Linked DNA regions of Struthio camelus. The protein of the gene in region 1 interacts with the protein of each later gene in a pairwise test. Links are inferred from orthologs where the notes say so. Each region holds a gene or a part of one and is shown on either strand. Other genes may lie near its edges.

Region 1 (6,933 bases):
TACTCTAAAACCACTTAGAAAATATTAACAAATCCTCTATTAATAAAAATCAGAATAAATCAAGTCAAATTCAAGAAAATAAATAATCAGACCCAAACAGAAACAGAGTTCCAGACTGTCATCCTCTCCTGCAGAAAAAAATAATTTTTTTTCGGGTATCCTTTTCACAATCTTTTTTTCTGTCACTGTAAGAAAAGTAGCTGTGGATTACTTAACGGATAGCAAAAGTCAAACACTCATTTATTTTCAGGTTTCACACAGGCACGTGTTTTTACAACTAAACTTCAGTATGTTTAAAAGATAAATAACCTGTTTACTCAGAAGACTTTGGAGACTGGAATTCCTCCCAGCTTTGCTTCCTAAGTGTTTTAACTGACTTTTCAGAAGATCACAGGACAACTGTTTCTTTAAATCTCTGAAACTTTTCATTCTGTACTCCCTCTTTAGACAACTATTTTGCTTGTTAAATACAAACTGAACTGTTGCATTTTAGTATCTCCTGGGTCTTCTTTCCTGCAAATGAATTCACTTTAGCATCTATCTGACTGTCGAATGAGGTCATCACTGAAAAAGTCCACAGTGGATTTACTCAATAAGAATACCCCCTCCTTCCTTGCCCCATCACGGACTACTTCAGCATGAAAGGCCAGGAGAAAGTTTTTATGCCAAACACTTTCACGATTTACAATTTTGCCTATCATGCTCTGCTCTGGCGAACGTTAGCTTATTCACTCATCTAAAACTAACCCTTATATACTTCATATTGAAGAAAAGCAAATACATATCAATGGTTATCAGATGGTTATAAATCCTCTCATACTTATGCCTAAGGCCAAGCACAAAAAATATTTTAAGTCATTTAAGATCAACACTATTTTGTACAAATATAAATTGTTTTATTTCCCCTGCTGAGCATAAAAGAGCCCCAACAGGGTATTTTTGATAGTCAGAACTTACCCCTTTTTCTGAAAGATTCAGTGTTGGCAAGTGCAAAGCTCTGGTGTGGGAAGATTTCCAGTCAACTGGCATTACGTTACCATAATTATCAGTCAAAGCATTCCAAATCCTGCAGAGAGGAATAAAGGAACAAAAATGCAGACCTTCACATGAATAGCAACTGATCAGCAGTTAACATATTTTTAATGATAATATATTTCTACCAATAACTATTTTTCTCTCTAAATACTCATCTACAAGTTACTGACAATATTTTAGTAATATTCTGAAGTCAAAGAAAAAAATGTTTTTGAAAGGCATCCTGTATCTCTCTTTTTAAATCTCAAGTTTATGCATGGCAGTGAAATAACAGAATAAAAAGACAGCTTCATCAAAAATTATATAACCATATTTGAAATCTCTTTTGGAAGTGGATGAGCCCTTCCTTTGATGAAATCTCAGGCAAGCTATAAGCTCTTTTCCCAGTGTTACTATTTTCCTTGCCTTTTGCACCTTGAAATTCGGAATTAGCAGAGGCTGAAGAGCAACTTCCAAGCCAAACCTCAATTTTTACAGCTTGTTTTAACTGCATCTGTAAAAGCTTCTTTTTTTTCTATTTAGCTCAGAATAACGAACAGGCACAAGTTATACTAAGATCCAGCAGAATTTCATTTTATCCAGACGCACTCTTGCTCAGCTCAGCTCCTCACTCTTGTTTACAGTTCATCTTAACCACGTTCACACTGTACAACAAACTCTGGCCTTGCATGTGCTGCAGTACTTTGAGACACCAGTTCAGATTTTGAAACAGAGCAGCCCTATTAGCAGGTTGCCTCAAGTCAGCTAACAGTTGATGCATACTTGGAGTGGTTGCCTAGCTGGGCTCAGAGGAGGTCAGAGACTCAGGCAGACTCCGAAGGGCAGGCAGACACCCTAGCACTGCACAGCCACTCTAATTCAGGGTTCTCTATACTTATCTCACTCTTTATACCATAGATACCTCGAGTGTGGTGTTTTTCTAGATTATTTTCTTAGGATAGGAGATACAGTCTAGTTATGTCAAGGTAAAAAAAAAAATGCTGCAGTATTACTAAAGAAGATAAGCCAACAGTGAGATTTGCAGCTACAAAATAACGTGAAAAGAAAAACAGCATAGCTCAAAAAGACTCTGTTACTCAGTGAATAAAACATAATTATAGTTGCGATTTTCTCCGAGATTCTCTTCCGCATCTAAACTGCTTTCCACATATGATTTCAGACAAACACTGCCCTGTGGGCATTTTACAAGAAGCTAAATAAATATTACCTTCAGTCACTTTGTGCTTCAGAACAGTTACCCAAAAGGGAAGAGACACTGAGATATGCACTTTTTTTTTTGACAGTTACAAGCCAAAAGGCTTAAAGCCAAACTAGCGCCAGCGGCTCGGCCAACCCTTCCCGGTTCAGGTCGAAAAAGCCCGTCTGAACTGCCGGTGCCAGGCCCGCCGGCCCCCAGGCCCACGGCGAGGGCAAAGACCTCAAGCCCTGCTCAGACTGGGCGAGAGCAGCCGACCCCTAAGGCAGGATAAAGGGCAGCGCGGGGGCTCGGGCCAGAAGGCCCCGAGGCGACGCTTTCAGACAGCAAGGGCTGAGGCCGACCCACAGACCCCCTACGGCTCCCTCCCCCCCTCCGGCCCCACACCCCTTCCTGCTGCCTGCGACGGCCGCCCCCGCGACGGCCGCCGCCGGGCCCTGCCCCGCCGGGCCGCACTCACTCGTCGTCCTGCAGGGCGCTCTGCTCCGTGAGGGGCCGCAGCGCAACGCGGCTCTCCCCCCCGCCGCCGCCGCCGCCGCCGCCGCCGCGGGCCTGCGGGGGCTCAAAGCAGAGCGACAACTTAGCCGCCAAATCCCCCGCTCCCCAGCCGCCTTTGTCGCGGGCCGCCTCGGGGCCGCTCCCCGCGGCGGGCTGGAAACCCGAGAAGTCCTGCCAGTCCCCCGGGTCTCGCTGCGAGGCCGCCATCGCCGCCGCCGCCGCCGCAGCAGGAGACACCGGGCTGCGCGCCCCCGGCAGCGACACTCGGCGCTGCGCGCTCCCGGCCCCTCCCGCAGCGCCGGCCGGGGACGGAGGGGGGCGGGGGGAGGGGCGGGGCGCTTGACGGCGCTGGGCGGCCCAACGGCCGCGCCCCAACGGCCGCCGCGGGGGGCGGGGCTTGGCGCGCGCCGCCGAGGGGGGAGGTGCTGGCGGCGGACGGGGCGGCGCGTTATCCGCGGCCGCGCTGAGGCGAGGTCGACCCGGCGTCTGCGCCCGAGGGTGAAGCGGTGCCTCCCGGCCACGGCGGGCACCGAGCAGCGCTGAACCTGCCTAGAGCGGCCGTTTGTAGCCGGCGTGGGCTCGGGTGCGTTGCCCGGGACCACCCAGCCTTTGCCCCGGTAGAGGCACGGGGCGCGGCCCGCAGCCTGCCCTGTGGCGGCGGCGTGGAGACTTGCTGCGAAGGGGGAAGACCGGTCCCGGAGGTGCTGCTGCCGCTAACAAAGACGCCTTGGAAACAGGCATTTCAAAGGATACCGCCGTGCTTCTGTAAAAACTGGAGAGTCGCTGCTTAATTTTACCACCGCTAGAGAAAGCGGAGAGATGCGTTTGCGGATTTAAGCTTCGACAATGAAAAGCATCGTTTCTGGAGAACTGGGGTTTCTCTCCAAGGAAGGTGATGGCTGTGGGCCTGAGGCCTAAACGCAGTGCTTCTGAACAACGGGGCAGTTCACTGGGGAAAAGGGAGGGAAGGGAAAGGAGGAATGTTTGCTGTAATTTCATTGTAACCTGGTAAGCTGGGGATGCGTGGGTTTCGGGTTATTTTCAGAATTTGGCCATCCACAAGCATGAAATGAACTTTTGGAAATACTTGGTTTTTATTAGCACATCGTCACTCCCCTTCCAGTCCTTTTCTGTCTTTTATGTGACATCTATTTGTACAATAGCTTATGACAGGCTTTTTTTAATCTAGAACTTCTTTGATCCGCTGTAAACTTTTGGCATCCCCAGTAGTACCTGGCAAGAAACTTCTCCGCTTGAAGAAGACTCAAAGCAAATACAAGATCTTAAGTTTCTTTTCATACTTCCTACTTGCTATTTTGAAAGAGACAGCAAGTGGAAAATCCATCCCTTGTTCAGCTTCTCCATGCCGCACAGACATTTAAAGACATTTAAAGATTTATCCTGTAACATGCAGTTACTGCTTTTCCAAGCTGACGCTCCCTAGTCTATGTAGGTATTCCAGATACGATCCTTTCTGATACTGTGAATAGTGTGAGGGAGACCAGGACTACTTTCAGTGTTCACACATGGGTGCACCATGGATTTACACATTGGCATAATGTTGTTCTTTGGTTTGTACCTGCTTCCTAACATCCTAGTTAAGTTACTGGTGATGACGTATTTTCACAATACTGTTTATAATAATCCATTTTTTTAGCAGTAAAAGCATGCACTGCCCGTTACTACGTACGTAAATTTTTTTTTTTTCCTACACATGCACGACCTGAGGAAATAGTGGAATGTTTGCGGGCAGGGTGAAGAATATTTAAAGACACTATTCTGGAAGACATATGACCTCTCAGAGCAAAAAAGCTGGAATAGTTAACTAGCAAGCGAAAGGAAATTACTGGACAGAAACAGACATCTTTCAGACAGTAGAGCTGCATCCAAATGAGGAAATCAGTACATAGTCTCCAGCAGGTTAAATCTAAAAATATAGCAAGGCAAATCAAGAATTTAAGAAACAACTTGCAAAAGTCAAAATACCATAGTAAACCCCTTTCTGGATTATATCTTGAGTAAAAAGTTTGCTGGAGTCCATAGGGCTAAAATGTGATGAAGGTATAAAAAGGACTACTTAATAAAATGATATCAAACCCCTGAATTTAGGTTTCTGCATCTGTTCACCTGGGAGAGGTGTGAATACTGGGTCTCCTCTTTATGGGTTACCACTAGAGTCCAGCAGGTATTCTCTACACTTGAGGACATGCTCTTAAGCACATGAAAGGATGTGAACAGGAGAGGGAATAGCAAAGAAACAAAAGGTAGTAAGTTATTCAGAGCAGTAAAAGTAAGGGCTGGCTGTGAGAATTTCAATATATTATGATATTGAATCATTATATAAAATATGGATGAAATTCAGCATCCATAAATAAAGGGATGCATGTGAGAGGGGAAAACAAAACAAAACCGCTGACCTGTCCTAGTCAAAGTCAGTGATGGGCTTCATTACTACTACTACTACTTGGGCATTTTCGATTATTACAGCTACCTCTGTGAGAACACTGACTCGGTGGTCAGTAGCAGTCAAGCCAGTATATAAAAGGCTATGTCCAGGGTGCAGCATGTTTAAACAATGTGGACATTTTCAGTCCTTCTGCCGTTGATCTAGAAAGGATGTAATAGCATGGGAAGTGATACAATGAAGAGCAAGGATGACCAAAAGGTATGGATGGAATGGCTCTCATACAAGAAGCCTAGGACTCTACAGCACAGAAAAGAGAAGACAAAACAGAGAGAAGATGGAGGTCTGTAAATTAATGGGTGGCATATAGATGCTGATCCACTCCTCTAATTAGATGCTGAAAGTAGGGGATACCAAATGAAACCATTAAGGGAGTACAGTCAAAGCAAGAAAAGGAGGCAGTTTTTCCACACATCATGTAGTTAAGCTGAGAAATTCCTTGCCTCAAGGTGCTACAGATAACCAGAACTTTCCATCAATTCAATTATTTTACAAATTAATAGAAGAAAGAACATTGTGGGCTAATATGGGTGTTCTCTATGGCTCAGGAAGTCCTTGAAATGCAAATTGCTGGAAAGAAACCATCATTTCCTCTTTTTACACGCTTTCCTACGTATCCACTACGGGTCACAGTTGGAGACCACGTACCAGCTTAGACAGACCTTTGGTTTTGTTGAGTATAGTTTTTTTTTTTTAAACATACATACGTTTTTGCTTTTCTGTGTTTTAATTGTGACAAAGCTAAGCTTCATTTCTTTTTGGCATGAGAAAACTTAGCTGAGATTTCTGGCCCTCTTGTTGCTGTTGTTCTCCTCGCTCCATGTTATTATGTATCAAAAATAAACAAGTAAAAAAAAACAAAACAGAAAAGGAGAGTTTAAGCATGGTCTCTGATTCTACAGACCTTCTATAGGACCTATAGGAGGGCCATTAAGCTCATACCACAGCCCCATATGATTATTTGTGACTCTGCGTGATAGTTGTGATTAGACCAGATGGCATGGCGGAGGCCTAACTTTGAGAGATTTTTATTTACTATATGCTGAAACTATCTGGGATTCCACAAACCCCTCTAACGTGAAGGTTCTTCTGTGTAAAATTCAGAACTTTCCCTAACTGAAGGAATAGTTGCTGAAGTAACTATTCTTTTCCTATAGTTTTCCTCAATTGTACTGGACTAAGGTCAGCTTGATGACACGAATTCTTACTTCAAGGGAAAAATAATATCAAGATAAAAACTAATGCCTCAAGGACCACTTCAGGGAAGTAATAAATACAAACATTAAAAAAAATATGCATCAGTAGGTTTAAAATTTTTTTATTGTGCTGCCAAGAGCCAAATTACAAGAAACCGCCTTACAGTTAAAAAAGTAAACAAGCAATCTGCTGAACCGCAGTGCACTCCGAGTGCCACATATGCATCTATTTTTCAGAAAATTATATCTGCATTTCTCTTACAAGAGCACAACAGGAACCAAAGTAAAAGAGTGTAATGGATACAGCACATAGGATAAATCATATCTTTAAAATAATAATAAAATAATAATAATAATAAAAAAAACATTTTACACCATGTCCTATATCCTGCTAATATTTTCAGAATATGGCCTTGATTGTAAAACAAAAGCAAGCATTTACAATTCTGGATAAAGACTGCTTACTCTTAATGCAAGGAATGGATGTTTTGTCTTGACAAAATCTTTGCAGTAACTGGAGAGAAACATCTCTGTTTCAGTATCAG
Region 2 (7,528 bases), on another chromosome or scaffold:
CCAAGGATACAAAATACAGTTCTATTTTAAAATCCTTTCCAGACTTAATATATTGTGTTGCTTAGACTATGTACAACCACATTTGCAAAACTTGCCTTAAAATTAGACTTTCTCTTTATCAAACCACTATGCAACAGAAGCAGCTGAATATGTTAATATCTGAGACAGTGCAGTGCAACCCAATGCAATATCAACCATTACAACTGTGCTGTCACAAGCATGTAACCTACTCAGAGACATTCTGACTCTGTTCCAGTATTCCCTGGGGTAGTTAGAAACTTTCTTTCACTTGAGTGTTTTTGTGACCCTTTTTTTTTTTTTTCTACTACTAAAGATATCCAGAAAGTATCAGGGTGCTACCAGGTATAGAGATAAATATACAGCTAAACATACAGGTAAAATAACAGCTTTGAAACAAGGGGTCCAACAAGATTTTATGAGGTGGTACACATGACAAAACCTCTCTCCACTTACTAACCTCCTGTCTCTGATCCCACTCTTTCCTCTTGCCTTGCCAAGCTAGAGCAAGGTTTGAAATACAGGCACCAAGAAATGTTTCCAAAGGTACCACATCACAGCTGTGGATTCCCAGATGACAAATTAGCCCTATAACAGCAGACTCAGGAAAGCAGGTGAGGAGCACTTGAATAATTTGATACTATAGTTCAGTTCACTTCATAAGTGCAAGGCTGAGGTCTGCATAAAGAGCGTTGCACTGCAGTCTGCCTCAACTGAGCTAGAAGCGCTGTTAAACTGTTAGTATAAATAAGTGTCACAGCCCATGCTGTCGTTCAGCTATGGTGTTCCATACATCTGTACTTAACTCCAAGCCAACTTCCTTTCCAGGTCACTATTCAATTATTTTAATTAGGAAAAAAAATTACACGGTAGCTACAGTAGCAAAAAGGGAAACAAGCCACTACTATGCAGATTTTAGCTACAATGTTTTAAATCTAAGGACAAAAACCCTCCTATAATTGCATATTTCATACAAAGTTGCCCAACTTGATATAAAATCCTCAGCTTGCAGAGTCATTTCAGTTCCAAACTTGATGACATTCTTAGGCATTTATCTGCTGCTTTCATGACTGTCATATCCAGACAGTGCTTTGCTAACCTGCTTGTTATCAATACTCCTCGGAACTGGCCTAGCACAAGGCTACCAACATTCCCAGGTGCTGTTGCGCTAATGTCAAATAAAAGGCTCACAGCCTCTCCTACCTCCCCCAGCCTTAATTTACCCACCCCTGTTTAAAGAGGCAGCCAGAGAGCTGCTAGGTACTCCCCAACCTCTTTTCAATGTACTAATGAAACCCTGAGCAAGATGAACTGATGTTTTATAACCAAACTTTTACTGGAGTAATGGACACTAATGTAAAGTGAAGTAATTCACAGATGGAAATAGTTAAGCTCATTGTGCTCTGACAGTTAACTCCATTACACAGCTTTCTTTCAAGCTATTCAGAGTTCCTCTGTCTACAGCTATTCCTTCCTGCTCTTCCTCACAAAACAAACATGATGACAGCAAAAAATGGGTACTTTTGTGTCACACCTACGCGGCACCTTTCATCAAAGCACCTTATTTCACTAACAAAATATCAGGCCACCAATAGAGAAAATGTTTCTCACCACACCACTCAGACAAGCAAGCTATAGATCTAACTCTACGGTGCTTTTAAAGACGCAGAACATAGGCGTATGTTTTAAATGTGTAAAACCCTGTGTGCAAGAAAGATGAGACAATGTCTTTGGAGCCCTCCTAGTTAAATCCCATCCCCTCCTGTTGGGGAAAGAGTCTGTTTCTGTGAACCAGCTGTGGAGATCTCCCACAAACCCAGTAGATTTCCAGATGCCCATGAAAGGCAATCTTCTGGGAAACAATGCAGCTCTGTAAATAGCACCAGAGTGACTATATGCATGTATTTATATATATGCACCTACACTTTATGCACTCTCCCTCCTTCTGCAGGGGCAATGAGAGAAGCACTGACTGAGGAACTGAAGTATGTGATTTGTCCAAAGACCTTCCAAAGAGGCTGTAAAGGAGCTCTGAATCACACTTGCGGAGCAGCCTTAATTTTGAGCCTTGCAGTCAAGAGTCCGTACGCCATGAAAAATAACTCCTCAGGTTACAGCTCTTTGGTGCTGTATAAGGTGGAATGTCTTTGGTATAAGAGCCTTACCTCAGAAATTGCAGGAATCAGTACATATCACATGAGACTGCCAAACTCCAAATCACACATTCTTCTGCAGAGATTCTTATTCAGTCTTACTAACATACAGCTTTTACTATACATCACCTTTACTAGCAGCTTTGATGTAGACATGCAGATTATGCTGCATAATGAATGTGGAGGTTGCACAATTGTTTTCGATGTCTAATCTGTCTAAAAACAGATAATAATTTACATGGAAATTGTATCTACCAGAGGGAGCCCAAATGGCCAATATAATAGAACCACATTGACACAGGCAAGAAATGTTAAACAAACACTTTAGATACAGGCTGCACAGTTCAGACAAGATTCATCCCTTAGTTCCACACGCATATAATTTCATAAAATTCAGAAGTAATGAATTACATAATTGTGCTGGTTTTTTTGATCTGCCCTTCCAAAACAAGTTGATCAGGTGTTTCAACCATCTATAACATGTATGAAAACAGTAAAGGACAAAAATAAAGAAAGATTGAAATGTTTCCCCTTTTTCTAGCTTTATTATAGTTACTGTGAACATTCTGAAGCATGCTATTGCACCACTGAAAGAAGAAAAAAGAAACATAGGCATTCCCCCATCAAAGGAAACAATCAAATTTCAACATGACAACAGAGAAGGATTATAAGCAGCTAAAATTGGGCAACATCTGAGAAAAGACCAGGTGAAAATAGTTAACACACCTGTGGACATATGACAGCATTACTATCTGTTGGAAGTTCCATTAACTGCTTGTTTTCTCCCATCTCTCCTTCTTCCTTTTCCTTTTTCATTCAGAATTTACAAGTAAACATAAAACTTTTTAGAAACACATACAGTAAAATCTTGGACTTCAGCTTTTACTCATGGAACGGATATAGCCCATAATCCTATACAGTGTCATAAAAGTCCCAGCTCTCACCGAGAATCACATTTTAGGTATATAGAGCCTCCACATCTCTTTGGTGCTTGCCAAGTCTGTCCACACATGTATCAATTACTAACATCAGCTTTTGTGATACCCAAGGATTTGGAATGAAACAAGGAGGTCTCTTATACAGACTACTCAAGACCAAGGCAATCTTTTCTGTTTCACATCAGTTAGAGCTAAATTCAAATGAATAACTCACAACCCTGTTCTGAAAATAAATGCAGCATGCTTAATTTTCAGTACTTCCTGAAGGCAGTTGTCAGTAGCTTTACACCTACAGGAACAGGGGGGGAAAAAAAAAAATAATCAAATAATAAAATTAAAGCATGCACAAGCAATTAAAGTATCAGGGAAAAAAAATGAGCAGCATTACAGTTATCATTTCTGTAAGCTGCATCACTTCATCACTTCCCATGCCTCTGTGTTTACTATCTTTTTCCTTTCTTCCTGCAAACTTGCATGCATTTACCTCTGTACAAAGAAGCTGCCTCGGGAGTCCAAATCAAGATTATGGTTGTGTGAAAGGCAAACTGTAAATTCTCATTCTGTAGTTAGACAATGCTTCACATAACTAACATTCAGTTTTTAGTGAGACTTCAGAGAGGTTCCTAATTACAATTAAAAAATCCTTTGTCAATATCCTAAATTTATAGCCTTTTCCTGGAAAAAAATTAATTAAACATAAATCAAATCAGGCAGACTCTGAACCTGCAAACCCCTGAAAATGACATGGTTCCACTTTCACTACATTGTCTTTGATCAAAATCAGAGCCATTCATAATTTTAAATAAGTTGAAACCAACGTTCTACCCATGAGTGCAAAAGATAGGTATTTCCAAGCGGTAAGTAGTCTGAGGTGAATTTCCTAGTTTGTATGTTCAAACTATGTTCAGTTTTCTGTAGATGTGTCCAGACAAAATATGAAGAGGCAAGTTTTTTTTTGTTTGAACTAAAGTTCTTTCTGACAACAGAACATCACAGAACCTATCACAGAACATCACATGCTCACTTACATAACTTTACTTGCATGCACTACTCCACTGGTTTTGATGCGACTCTTCACATATGTAAAACTACTCATATTCCTAAGCATGTGAAGACTAGATTTTTAACCGGCTGCTCCCAAAACTGTCTATTGAATTTGTTTGGGCTATAAGTAACATTTCTGAACACTTAAAAGTCAATTTTTCCCTCTTTTCCTCTATCCAAAGAAACGTACACGGCCCTAGAGAAAAATTAAAAAACTAAGCCTCCTTAGCGTGAAAACACAGTTCTTTCACAAAAAGAGTCTGAAACAATGGCATTTGCTCAGTATGTATTTGACAAAGCTGTTATACTCTTTAACCTTCCAGTTTAACAATTTCCGGAAAAGAGCTCAAAGTTCAGATGAGATACCACACTGAAAGAAAGATGTGTATAGTTGCAGACAGGATCAGATAACACCTGTGTGGTGTATGGACTCATTAAAGATTTAACAAGAGAAGTCACATGCACACTGAAAAATGGCTGACAACTGTTATGCTTAATGCACTTAAACTTTGCTCAAAAGAAGGAAGCAAAATGGAGTTACCTCTGGATGAGGAGGACGGCACTTTCACCAACATTTCTTTGGCAGACGATTCAGGTAAGGAACTACAGTAATCTAGTGATGAACTACAGATTCCATCGGCTGAATAATAACACTGGGTGAGCACACAAATCTCTTGTTCCTCATTACCAAGTACAATGTATTTTTAGAAAATGCCCTTAAGTAAACAGTTGAATAAGCCTTACGACTAATTAAAAATTGAGATTTTGGGGGGTCTAGGGGCTATCACAGTTTTCACATAATAGCATATGTTAAGAATAAGATATCTGCTCAGATAAGAAATACATGTTATCTTTCACTTGTTTAGAAAGAAAAAAATTTCAGAAGCGTTAACTTAGTAGTTGCTAATATCAAAAAAATACAGATAGTCTCAGCCTTTCCTCTTGAATGTGGAAAGGTGCTGTTTGACATGCTCTAGTGAGAGCTCACAAAAAGTGATACAAACTAATTAGTAACAGAAATGAACTGATCATTTAAATCCCCATTATTAAGAATTTAGTAGTTTTTAAGGAAACTACAAAAGCAAAGAATGTCTCCCTTTGCCCCTCTAACTTACGGAGTAAAAGTGATTTGGAATGAGAGGCAGGATATTTCTATATACTGGAAAAATGACGTGAGTTAATATGAGTGACAATAAATTATTTAGAAAGGTGCGGCCAGAGTATCAACTGTAGCAAGTCAGCATGGCTGCCATAGACCTGTGCTAATTTACACTAGCTTCTGGATTGTTGATTAATGAATAATGCAAGTCCCATTTTTCCTTTCTTTACTTTTTTTTTTTAAGATTAAAAAAAAATGTTATTTTAAGTTCCATCTTCTATATCTTGTATATAAAAAGCACATGAAGTTAACCTTATTTTTAGAATGTAGTTCTTCAGCAATTTCATATGAGCATGATGGAGCTGAAATGGATGTTTCAATGCAATTACTTTGTTTTTTTTAAAGCATATAGCTTAGTGACATATGTGGTTGACTTGAACTATTCACAATAAGATAAAATTCAAGTCCTTGGGGCAAGTCTTGCAATAACAGAGTGTCTTCCTGACAGTGAACCTAAGACTATTTCTCTGAAAAAGTGCAGAACAGTAAGTTTCCTACGACACCTTTTCGTGGCTTGCTGCACAGATAATAGGGCAAGAACAGATTAGGAATGACTCTGCAATGACTTCCAGAGAGGCTAAGCTATGCAACAGTAAAGCCAGCCTAGGCATTCAGGACTTGATATTCACTAATGCTTAAGCTCTGACAGATATCACAGATGTAGAAGTAACTGCTCAGCAATAGTGCAAATAAGATTCTGCTGCACCTAAGAAATTGCACCTCTAAAATTACTAGATTCTTGACTGCAGTAACACACCCAAAGTCATATGAAGCTCGTGTTCACATCAGGAAGAGGACTTTGCTCCTGTGCTATTCCTTTCTATTCTGAAATTCAGTCCCTTCTGAGTTACACAAAGATTGTTATCGCTGATTGCACTGTATAGCAGAACTTTCCATTTTTTTAAACCACTTCCAGACAGCATTAATAGTTCCCCTCTTCATCTGAAATTAAACAAGTAAGATGTGTAGCATGCACTGCACAAAGATCTGAAGTACAAGTGGATCGCTCTCCAAGAAGAATGAACTCCCCAAATGAGGCCTCTTAATACAAGATCTGCTACTGATACCAGAGCGTTTTCCCAGTAGTGAAGAGGGAGGGAGAGTCACTCAAAAGTCGAGAGAGAAATTCAGAGCAACTGAAAACAAAGTGATATATTCAGGTAAGCTTTCTCTTGAAGGGAGAGAGAGAGAGAGAGAGAGAGAGAGAGAGAGAATATAGTAAGGTTCATGGAGAGAGGAGGAGAAAAGTATTATAGAGTGAGAGAGAAAAAGATTCCTTAGGATGGACAGCAGTAAGTTCATGCAAGGAATAAAGAAACACAACAAGCAATACATACATCTTAAAATAACATTATGAACAAGCGGACTTTGCCTGAGGATGAGCTGATGATGTTTAGAAGCAAGTGTTCCATAATTACAATTTAAGTAGGATCACAAAGACGCACTGGTTTTAATGAACTACGTTATATTTGCACTCACCACATGAGGCTTTCCTCCCATCTTTTAAAAATGTACTAACATAGACAAGTAGAAGAATGCGTTACATATATACAATCTGATAACATAATCAAAAAAAAATCCTTCATATCAGAGTTTCTTTAGTATAGTGAAAAGCTATTGTGACAAAGCAACAGGGGTTTCTGAGCCTGATTAACTGAGCGCAATCCATGAATATTTAATAGCTAATGCTCTTTCAAAACAGTAGCATTTTGCTAGTCATTCAGTACACAGGTATTAAAAATAAATCACTTTAAATCAGGATGAAAATGAAATGGCAGCAAGACAAAATTCTTGATCAATATGTTAATAGCAATATCACAAGCCTTTGAAACCAAGGAAAGCATTCATTAACAGCATTTGTGAGAGGTAAGAAAATATTTTCACCCTTAGTGAAAGAAATATCCTTTAATGTATAAAATCATAGCACTCAATTGATAATCTTTCCCCCCCTAAAATTACAGGCCCAAATGAAAGTAAAGAAGAAATTAAGCCAAAAAGAAAACAAAACAGTGAAACAATACCTAAAAGTTGCATAAACTTCTCTTATTCTTTTTTTAAAATACTATTTCCCAGAAAGCCAACATTAAGGACTGAATTTCTCATATATTCTCATACATTCTCTTTAAAAAGCAGAAATAAAGCTCTAAATACTTAGGCCTAACTTAATAAAACAGGAAAATAGCTTTTCATCTCATTGTTACTAGTACAGCTTTATG

What was found. The genes of interacting proteins can lie anywhere in the genome.
Region 2: the proteins of FEZ2 (region 1) and SCOC interact in binary tests that used the Homo sapiens proteins (3 or more experiments, as listed by UniProt). The link is inferred for Struthio camelus from reciprocal best matches to the Homo sapiens genes FEZ2 and SCOC.

The regions. Positions count from the first base shown.
Region 1 is NC_090944.1:101,997,308-102,004,240, reverse strand, and holds the start of FEZ2 (fasciculation and elongation protein zeta-2), read right to left. Parts: upstream 3,036-6,933; 5' UTR 2,936-3,035; coding exon 2,691-2,935; intron 1,067-2,690; coding exon 958-1,066; intron 1-957. UniProt on the Homo sapiens protein: Involved in axonal outgrowth and fasciculation.
Region 2 is NC_090945.1:32,973,494-32,981,021, forward strand, and holds the start of SCOC (short coiled-coil protein), read left to right. Parts: upstream 1-4,508; 5' UTR 4,509-4,612; coding exon 4,613-4,748; intron 4,749-7,528. UniProt on the Homo sapiens protein: Positive regulator of amino acid starvation-induced autophagy.